Linked DNA regions of Tribolium castaneum. The protein of the gene in region 1 interacts with the protein of each later gene in a pairwise test. Links are inferred from orthologs where the notes say so. Each region holds a gene or a part of one and is shown in the gene's direction. Other genes may lie near its edges.

Region 1 (3,629 bases):
AATCACATAGTAAAAAATGAAACGAAAGTAATAATTCCATTTAAAAATTAACCTACACGTAGGGCAGAACATCCGAATTAGTAATAAATTTAAACTTGCATTTTGTGCAATTTCTTGCATTAATTTGAGAAGAGGCTGCGTTAAAATAAAGCGAAAATATCATGCTTAAATCTCAGTTTTATTACGAATAGTCATTCACTTTTTTAACTAAACAAGAAGAAATATTTGAAACATCAATATTCGAGGAAATAGGTATTAGCTTAGATATTTCTTAGATATTATCAGCTGTTTCAAAACTATAAAAACGCGAGTGTCGCATTTTAAAGAATATTTTTTTAAATAAGATTGATAAAAATATAAAATAGTTATTAATGAAATTATAAATTTCTCATCGAAATTATAAATTACATTAACTATTAATTTTTTTAAGTTTAAGTGCATAAATAATTTATAACAATGCGACGTTGGCGTTTTTATAATTTTGAAACAGCTAATAGCTATATAGTTTGTTTTGATAAGATTCCATGAAGTCGGTAAAATTTTAATTGTGGAGTCATAAGGTGAAAATATAAAATATTATTTTTTTTATAAAATTTATAAAGGCTATTCAGTTATTTGAATTTTTGTGCAATTTTTTGTATTAATTTATTAATTAATTTCTGCGTTAAATAAAGCCAAAGTAGCATATTTAAGCCTCAGTTTCATTAATTGTCTATTATTTGAACTTAAAACAAAAGATATTTGTTAAAAAAAACGAAATATTTGAGGAAATATTTAGTTTAGTTTAGTTATTTTGTGTACGTGTTGAATACAAGATGTTTTTTCACGAGTGCCTGGACCACCACATTGACTTAAAAATTGCTTAATTATGAACAGACGTCATGCTCACTTTTGATAAGATGCCATAAGCGATCATTTGTTCCGAATTCTTGAGTTATATTTTCATTTATTTATAATTTAACCGATAAATGGCGTTTTTCTCGGCATTTTTGAGCACATCCTAAGTGATTTCTCCAAGCCGCTATTTGTAATTTCATTTGCGCCTTGCTTCCGTTTAAATAAATTTGGTTCCGTCGGCAGGTAAAAAAGGGCGCCGGCTCTAAAACCCTCCCTTCGAATAACTCTCCCTCCCGGACGGTGGAATCCCCCAGTATGGCGCGTCGTCAAGCCGCCGATCCCTCCGAAGCCATCGGCACCGCCGTCGTCAAGTACAATTATCAAGCCCAACAACCCGACGAACTTTCCCTCGTCAAAGGTTCCCGAATTCTCATCTTGGAGAAGAGCAACGACGGCTGGTGGCGAGGTCAGAGCGGGAACGTCGCCGGCTGGTTCCCTTCGAACTACACCCAGGAGGAGGGCGACGCCGACGATACCCTTCACACGTACGCGATGGCAGAAAACGTGCTAGATATCGTCGTGGCGTTGTATTCGTTCTCGTCGACAAACGACCAGGAGTTGTCTTTTGAAAAGGGCGACCGATTGGAGATTTTAGATCGGCCTCCGAGTGATCCCGAATGGTACAAAGCGAGGAATGCGCAAGGACAGGTCGGCTTGGTGCCGAGGAATTACCTGCAGGAGTTGTCCGAGTATTTGACTCAGCCGTTTCTCGACCGAAAACAGGAGCCGATGGAGAGGTCGCAAGTGGCAATGGGCGATAAACCCCATCTGGTGGACAAGCCGTGGTATTATGGGAGTATCACGAGGTATATGTGTGATAATCTCCTGAATCAGAGAGGACACGATGGGGATTTTCTCATCAGGGATAGTGAAACGAATGTAAGTACAGTTGAACCTCTATAGCCCGAACTACGACACGACATACAAATAAAACGGCCCAGTTCCGTTATCGTTATAGTCTTTAAATCGAAATGTTATGGAAAAGCTTAAAAATGTTTAGTCAAAGAATTAAAAACAATTAAATTTCAATAAATTCTCAAGAGTAAGGGATGAAGGTGATGCAGTCGAAAAATATATTAACACTACGAAGACAAATGTTGGGTAAAAAGTAGCCACAAATAATTTTTTTGTTGATAATTTTAAAACGTCTCTTTAAGAAAAACGAAAAATTGGCAAAACAACTATAGTTTGTGAAAAATGTAATCGACAAGCTGAAAAAGAATTAGAGTAAAATGTTGTATTAAAAACTGTGTCTTTTTATAAAATAAGACCAAATAAGTACTATTTTATACGTTTAGTTAACGAATTTGAACATAAAATTATAATTTTTAAAATATGAGTGGTTGGGTATTTTGTAGCCAACTTTGGTGTATAACAATTTACTGAAAAAACTTCCTAGGAATAAAAACAAAATTTATGCTTTTATCAATTTACGCACTATCCCGTATCAAAAAAAGTGTAAGAAATTTGTAAAAAGTCAGCAAAACTGTTTCTCTACAGCCACTAAGACCTTAAACGTTCAAGCTAGTTGAACATAAGATTCCCTGAGGAATTTTAAATTAATTGAGTCATGATAAAAGTTAGGGAATTCCTCACCGAATTTTACTTTTTCTTTTAATTTGATTGTCGATAAAATGCACTAATTTTACCTCTGACTATGTATTAGTCTTTAGTTTAGAGGAGACTAAAGCACCTACTTATAATAAAATAATAAAGATAATAAATAATGATAATAAAAAATGTTCCGCCAGAGTTTTATAAGTTTATTTTTAGAAGATTAGAAACTTTATTTAAGTGTCAAAAAAGTTGGAAAAAAACAGAAATTAAGTATTAAAATCTGGTGACTTAAGACACATTTTATATTAATTCCTACAGCAGGGACATAATTTTTATTGCAATAAATTCCATTCCGAAATACGTAAAACACTTAAAATTGCACAAAAAAGCTAAGGAGAAGTTAACTAAACGTTGATCTTAAATATTGTTCTAAATTTGCTGTTGTAAAATCTGTCCTTTTTTCTGTAAGAATTCATCTCTACCTAAAAAATGAATTCATTGTATGGAATTACCGCTAGAAATATATATTACTAAAATCACGCACCTGTGTATTACGATTATTTTTTATTCAATTAATATTTCTATTTTTGGTTAGATTTTTATATCCATAATTATTTTATACAATTTGTCACTAACTAATTTTTCCACTCCTGAAGTACTTTTTTCACGTGTTCAATGGCTTCAACAAGTTACAGGTTTTTTTTGCTATTTTATAAATAGCATAAACTAAAATTTTAAAGTGAGAAAGTAAATAACATTTCAAAATGGCTTGACTAAAATACTCGTAATGCTATGCTTTTGCAACGGCTCATGAATCTTTAGTAATAAAAGGCAGTGCAACATTAAAAAATAATACGACCAGTATTTCCAACTGAAAAGTAGAAAAATAAAAAATTCAAACACTGACATTCTAAGAAACTTTAACGCTTCGAAACTAAAAAGATAAAATGAACTGAGACTGAAATTCTGAAGAATAAGTGAATAAGTGAAAAACTAATTGAAAAGCTGAAAAACTTAGAAACTGAAAAGATGAAATACAAAAAAACTAAAAACCAGTGAAATTAAAATTCCAGTTCTGTAGAACTAGAAAGAGTGAGAAATGAAAAAGTATAAAACTGCAAAATAAGAAACATTAAGAAATTATAAAACTGAAATTATGTATAAGATAATAGAAT
Region 2 (2,833 bases), on another chromosome or scaffold:
TAAGGATATTCTAGTTTTGTTATTGTTATTAATTCATTTTAATAAGTCTCTGACTTTTTTCAAAATTTTTCTATAATTTCTTATAACCAAAATTATTTAATGAATTTATTAGCATAATAAATGTATGCACAAGAAAATATTTCTTATGTCATTCTGAAAAATACGATGCTTAAATGTTCTATTGTTCTAAAAGTATTTTAAAAAATGGCGCTAGAGATCAGTAATTGCTAACGTATCTGTTTGAGAAATTAATTTTATAAATTATTTATGTTGCGCCGACACGTTAAAAGATCGATTATTATTACCCGTATCTATTTTTCATAACTGAATTACAAATAAAAAGTCGTCAAATTTTGAGTTTTATAAATTAATTCGGGAAACCGACCCTAAATTAAATTAATAAAAAATAAACATTACATGACATTTAAGCATAAAAATTCTACGCTATCGTTTGCGTAAGTTTCGAGATATTTTGTTTTTTTAATATTGTTTATTACATTATATTTCGTATGTATTTGGTTTGTAATTCCTAGACCTGGATGAGATCTTGGTTACAATAAAAAAAATACAAACTATACCCAACTGAAAAAAGACGTCTTTCGTAACTACTTAAAAGTAAAAAAAATAATCGATTTTACAAATATTGACGAAGTCACAATACATTTTTTAAACAATGTTGGATTCCACTCCTTGTTTATTATCAACGAAACAATAGAAATAATTAATACTGATAAAATTTGAATTTAATATTTCGATCTTTACTCCCTTGATTGTTCCAATAAACAATCAATAAATGCTAATTAAATGAGATAATGCGTACAATCTGAAAAAAACAACAACCGGAGGCGCGCATCGCCCTCATCGATCAATCGCTTTTCAGGCACGTTAAAAGACATCCCATCCCACACAAAAATTCGAATATTTCGAGAAAACGACAACGTGTTCCGATGGGAACTGATCTCGGACCCGTACACGGTCCAAGTGACCTCACCAAAAAAAGCGTCAAAAATGGGCGGCCTCAAATCATTCATCGCATATCAATTAACACCATCGTTCACCGGAATCGAAGTATCCCGCCGTTACAAACACTTCGACTGGCTGCACGACCGCCTCTCCGAAAAGTTCAACATAATCGCAATTCCTCCGCTACCGGATAAACAGATTTCGGGCCGGTATGAGGAGCATTTCATCGAGCACCGGAGAGTGCAGCTGCAGGAGTTTGTCAATTACGTGTGTCGACATCCAGTTCTGTCGACTTGCGACGTTTGGAGGCATTTTCTCACCTGCACTAACGAAAAACAGTGGAAGGAAGGCAAGAGAAAAGCGGAGAAAGACCAGTTAGTCGGGGCGAACTTTTGCCTGTGCATCGAGGCCCCAGATAAGGACTTGTTAGCGTCGACTATTGAAAGTAAAATTGAGAGTAGCATATCGTACATTAACCAAATGGACCAGTGCATCAAGGGCTTGATGCAGACGGCGTCCGATCAGCAGAAAAAATGCGAGAATTTGTATAAAAGAGAACATACGAAAATTGGCGAGAGCTTTTTCCAGCTCGGGGTCGCGTTCGAGCACAGGGAAGGTGGATTGTTCTCGGATTTGGCCACAGGTACCTGCAGGTGATTGGAGACTTGGAATAATCTGGTTGTTTCAGATGTGAAGAAAATTGGGACCACTTATATTGAAATCGCCAAGTTGTGCGAAGATCAGGCGAAAATCGATTGGCAGCCGCTAACCGATAAGTTGTACCTCTACAGGGGGATCACGAGTTCGTACCCCGATATTTTCTCGATGCAAAAACACGCCGAACAAAAGAAGAAGGAGTGTGAAAGGAACACGCAGTTCTCACACCAGCAAATCACTGAAGTTAGGAAGCGCACCGATGTTCTGACTTACTCGGTTTTCGCCGAACTCGACCATTTCCAGGCTGAGATGAACACCGAATTTCGGTCAGCCATGCGGTCGTTTTTGCAAGAACAGGTCAACTATTACAAAAATGTAGTGAGCAGATTGGAAGACACCTTGAGGAAGTTTGAGTAGTTTTTCTTGCCTTGTTATCATCTATCGTGTTTATTTCCAAGCCAAAACAATTGTGATTTAACTTTTTATTATATAATCTGTTATATGTTTATCCTTACGTGCTGTGTATATTATGGAAATTCCAACGTTTACATTAATTTTTATTTAATAGAATCACCGAGACATATTTTGTACATGAAATGTAATTGTATATTTCTATATATTTTGTTAAGTCAGATGTAATAAATGTGCTTACACGAACGCTGGTTTTATTCTCCTCCCGAGACAAAAGATCATTACTCTCCGTCAATTGGAAATCGTGACCTTAAACCACTTAAGGCAAACGGAAAGGACGCTTCTGTAACATCAATAAAATCGACCGGCTTTGACCATATCAGGAATTAGAAATTGACCCGACGCTCATTCATGCTATTTCAAGCAGGATTAGCTATAAAATTTAACGACCCAAACAATCCTAAAAATAACCAAAATATTTTTCACAGATGGGGGCAGAAAGGCACTAAGCGGCCGTCGAAATGGGCAGCAGAGAGTGCTGCGGCTTGAACGTTGTCAAAAACGTGTTAAACTTCTTCAATATAATCTTCCTGGTAAGTGTGATAATGGTCGTTCAACTTTTCACAAAGTCACGCCCACGTTAGCTCCGTATTTGTCAATGAGTGCATTCTGCATTTTAATTATCAATTCGATGAGATTCTCACGGATCGTGGTCAGGAACAAGGCACTCCTTTGTGCTCTTCGATGGCCCTTATTACATAAGTACACCTACAGACGGCACGCAAACTCCTCCAAATTATAC
Region 3 (3,660 bases), on another chromosome or scaffold:
TTCTGTTGTCCTTTCACTTATTTCAGTTACTAACTGGCACGTAAGGAGTGAAATAATATTAGGAAAGTTCAAATACAATATTATTAGTTCCTTCGTGCAGAAGATAGAAGGTACTGATTTTTTCGAATAATAAAATTTCAGTTTTGAAAAAATCAGTCCTTTAATATTTTCGGCCAACAAAATTATTAATGCATGCCAGAAGCTCAATTTCGGCACTCAAAATTAATTGCATGTCATTTGCAAGTTCAAAATGCATTTTGACTGACCGAACGCAATTTTTAGTGCCACCGAGGTGGATATTAGAGCCAACAGACAAAGCATTTGCTCAAGGCTCTGATGCCGCTGTTGAATGTAAAGCCGACGGGTTCCCCAGGCCTGTAGTGACATGGAAAAGGGCTACTGGTTAGTCCCTCCACTCAATAGAAATTCTCAATTACAAATTCTCAATTCTAGGGGTTTCACCCGGCGATTACAAAGATTTCAAACCAAACAATCCCGATATTAAAGTCGAAGACGGCACTCTTACTATTAACAATATCCAGAAAACAAACGAGGGTTATTATTTATGTGAGGCTGTCAATGGGATTGGATCAGGATTATCTGCAGTTATTCAAATCAGTGTTCAAGGTACTGGACACAATATTGTAATGGGGAAAAATTAACTGTTGCTTGTAGCTCCCCCACAGTTTGATATTAAACTCAGGAACCAAACCTCCCGCCGTGGAGACCCTGCCGTCCTCCAATGTGAGGCCAAAGGCGAAAAACCGATTGGTATTTTATGGAATATCAACAATAAGCGTTTGGAACCAAAAGGCGACAATAGATACACGATCCGGGAGGAGATCCTCGCCAATGGTGTTCTTTCCGGCCTCAGTATCAAACGCACAGAACGCTCCGACTCCGCTCTCTTTACTTGTGTAGCTACCAACGCCTTCGGCAGTGACGATACCAGCATTAACATGATTGTGCAAGAAGTACCAGAGGTACCATACGGGCTGAAAGTATTGGACAAGTCGGGCCGAAGCGTCCAATTGTCATGGGTTGCACCATTCGATGGCAACTCCCCGATCACTCGTTACATGATCGAGTACAAGCAAAGCAAAGTCAGTTGGGAGGGAAACACCGAACGGGTACTAGTCCCAGGTGACCAAACTGAAGCTGGGGTTTTCACTCTGCGACCTGCCACCACGTATCACATCCGCATAGTCGCAGAAAATGAGATTGGGTCAAGTGAACCCTCTGAGACTGTGACCATAATCACGGCAGAGGAGGTACCCGGGGGGCCACCAACCAGTATCCGAGTTGAAACAAACGACCAGCATTCATTGGTCGTCTACTGGAAGCCTCCAGCTCGAGAGGAGTGGAACGGCGATATTTTGGGCTATTATGTTGGTTACCGCTTGGCTAATTCAGACAAGCCGTACCTTTTCGAAACCGTCGAATTCGGACGTGAGGAGGGCAAGGAGCACCATTTGAAAATATCGAACTTGAAGACCTACACCCAGTACTCTGTGGTGGTCCAAGCGTTTAATAAAGTGGGAGCTGGTCCCTTGTCTGATGATATCAAGGCGTATACGGCTGAGGGAGTACCTGAACAACCCCCAGATAAGGCCACTTGCACCACCTTGACGGCCCAAACGATTCGCGTTTCGTGGGTGTCGCCGCCCCTCACGGCCGCCAACGGGGTTATTAAGGGCTACAAAGTCATCTATGGACCATCAGACACTTGGTTTGGTAAGTCATGTTGGAAAAAAATCTATGTCGCTCATACATTTTTCCAGATGAGAACACCAAAGACACCAAAATTACCGCTGCTAGTGAAACGATCCTCCACGGCCTCAAAAAATACACCAACTACAGCATGGAAGTCCTGGCTTACACTTCCGGGGGTGACGGTGTTCGCACAACCCCGATTCACTGCCAGACTGAACAAGACGGTACTTATCGGTTTTTAGTGAAAGTTTGCCTAATTTTGTAATTGCAGTGCCGGAGGCTCCAATCGCCGTTAAGGCTCTAGTAATGTCAACTGATTCGATTTTGGCCAGTTGGAAGCCCCCAGTTGAACCAAATGGCATTGTCGAGTACTACACGGTTTACTACAAACCGGTCTCAACCGATGACAAAACCGAGGTCAAGCCAACGTCTCAAAAAATCGTACCAAACTTGCGCAACCAGAATTTGAGCCACCAAGCGAAAAACCTTGACAGTAACTTGAAATACGAGTTTTGGGTTACCGCAGCTACCACTATTGGAGAAGGGCAACCGTCGAAGAAAGTTACAGTGTCTCCAAGCGCGAGCGGTAATTTTTTCTAGTGGTTTAAGCACCAAAGGAATGTTTGGTCAGTTCCAGCCAAAATCGCCTCGTTTGACGATACCTTCACCACGACGTACAAGGAAGACGTGACTCTCCCTTGCCTCGCCGTTGGGTTGCCACCACCGGTCATCACATGGAAAATCAAGGGGGTTCAGTTCACCACAAGCGACAAAATCAGGCAACAACCAGACGGGTCACTGTTTATTCGTGATGTCAGTCGGAATAACGCAGGGGAGTACTCGTGTCACGTTGAGAATGACTATGGACAGGACTCGGTGACTCACCAGTTGATTGTCAATGCTCCTCCACACGCACCACAAATTGCTCTCACTTCAACTACCACAAATTCGCTCACGTTTAAGTTAAAGCCGCATGAGTCGGATGTTGAGCCGATCCATGGATACACTATTCACTACAAGCCAGAGTTTGGCGATTGGGAGACGGTCCAGATTGGACCAACTGTCGAAAAGTACACTTTGGAGAAGTTGCTGTGTGGGACGCGGTACCAGGTCTACGCCAAGGCGTATAACAGGTCAGTGACTTAGTTGGAACGATGTGTGGTTTCGTGCCAATTCGGTTTGTAAGACAGAGGCAACAGCGTTATTTTAGCAGAGATTTGTGGTGATACGAAAGATCAACATTTGCCTTTTCACCAGATCATTATAATACGCGTGTGTGAGGATTCAAAATAGGAGGGTATAATAAAACAGTTTATCATGGGGAAAACATTAGTTTATTCAATAATAAGTTAAAGTAACAGTGTGTAATGTAAATCTAGTTACATATTAACGGAGCCTAGTAACAGACCCATTACATGGCTCTCAGCGACTTCCTTGAGAAAAGCATCAGAATAAATAACACTACACAAATAAACTCCAAATAAAGGTACCCGTCCGTAAACAACAAATCAAAAATTAACGGTCACTTTATGAACGCTTTTCCACTGTCATCTAGACTTACTTCTTGCTTACTCAACACTCCAAGAGTAGCAAAACCGTTGACAAAAAAATTTTACATGGAACCAAATAATTAATAAATCTAGTTTAATAAAAACAGGAACAAAAACTTGATTTTGTATAAAAACGTGTTTAAATCTTCAGAATTTGAAAAAACAATGGCGTTTTTGGTATAATTCGGCTATTTATTGGCTTACTTTTTAAGACATTTTGCGCATAGTAGAGTTTTTGCTGAATAAATGTAAATTTTTGATGATTTTCGACCAAATTTGGCGATTTTTTGTTCTAGTTTAATAAAAAAAATGGAAGAAAAACTTGGTTTTTCATCTAAAAACGTGTTTAAATCCTCAAAACTTGAAAGAGTAATGTCATTTTTGACATAATTCTGTG

What was found. The genes of interacting proteins can lie anywhere in the genome.
Region 2: the proteins of dock (region 1) and SH3PX1 interact in a two-hybrid assay, tested with the Drosophila melanogaster proteins (2 studies listed by BioGRID). The link is inferred for Tribolium castaneum from reciprocal best matches to the Drosophila melanogaster genes dock and SH3PX1.
Region 3: the proteins of dock (region 1) and Dscam1 interact in a two-hybrid assay, tested with the Drosophila melanogaster proteins (3 studies listed by BioGRID). The link is inferred for Tribolium castaneum from reciprocal best matches to the Drosophila melanogaster genes dock and Dscam1.

What each region holds. Positions count from the first base shown.
Region 1 is NC_087398.1:11,595,771-11,599,399, forward strand, and holds part of dock (SH2/SH3 adapter protein dreadlocks), read left to right. Parts: intron 1-1,080; coding exon 1,081-1,776; intron 1,777-3,629. UniProt on the Drosophila melanogaster protein: Adapter protein that links cell surface receptor tyrosine phosphorylation to downstream signaling pathways and effectors, many of which are involved in regulation of the actin cytoskeleton.
Region 2 is NC_087402.1:7,277,791-7,280,623, forward strand, and holds the end of SH3PX1 (sorting nexin lst-4), read left to right. Parts: intron 1-880; coding exon 881-1,606; intron 1,607-1,651; coding exon 1,652-2,037; 3' UTR 2,038-2,277; downstream 2,278-2,833. Other genes in the region: CD151 antigen, read left to right, coding at 2,553-2,624.
Region 3 is NC_087395.1:21,566,246-21,569,905, forward strand, and holds part of Dscam1 (Down syndrome cell adhesion molecule precursor), read left to right. Parts: intron 1-282; coding exon 283-402; intron 403-453; coding exon 454-627; intron 628-675; coding exon 676-1,734; intron 1,735-1,781; coding exon 1,782-1,937; intron 1,938-1,984; coding exon 1,985-2,299; intron 2,300-2,344; coding exon 2,345-2,846; intron 2,847-3,660. UniProt on the Drosophila melanogaster protein: Cell surface receptor involved in guidance and targeting of growing nerve axons.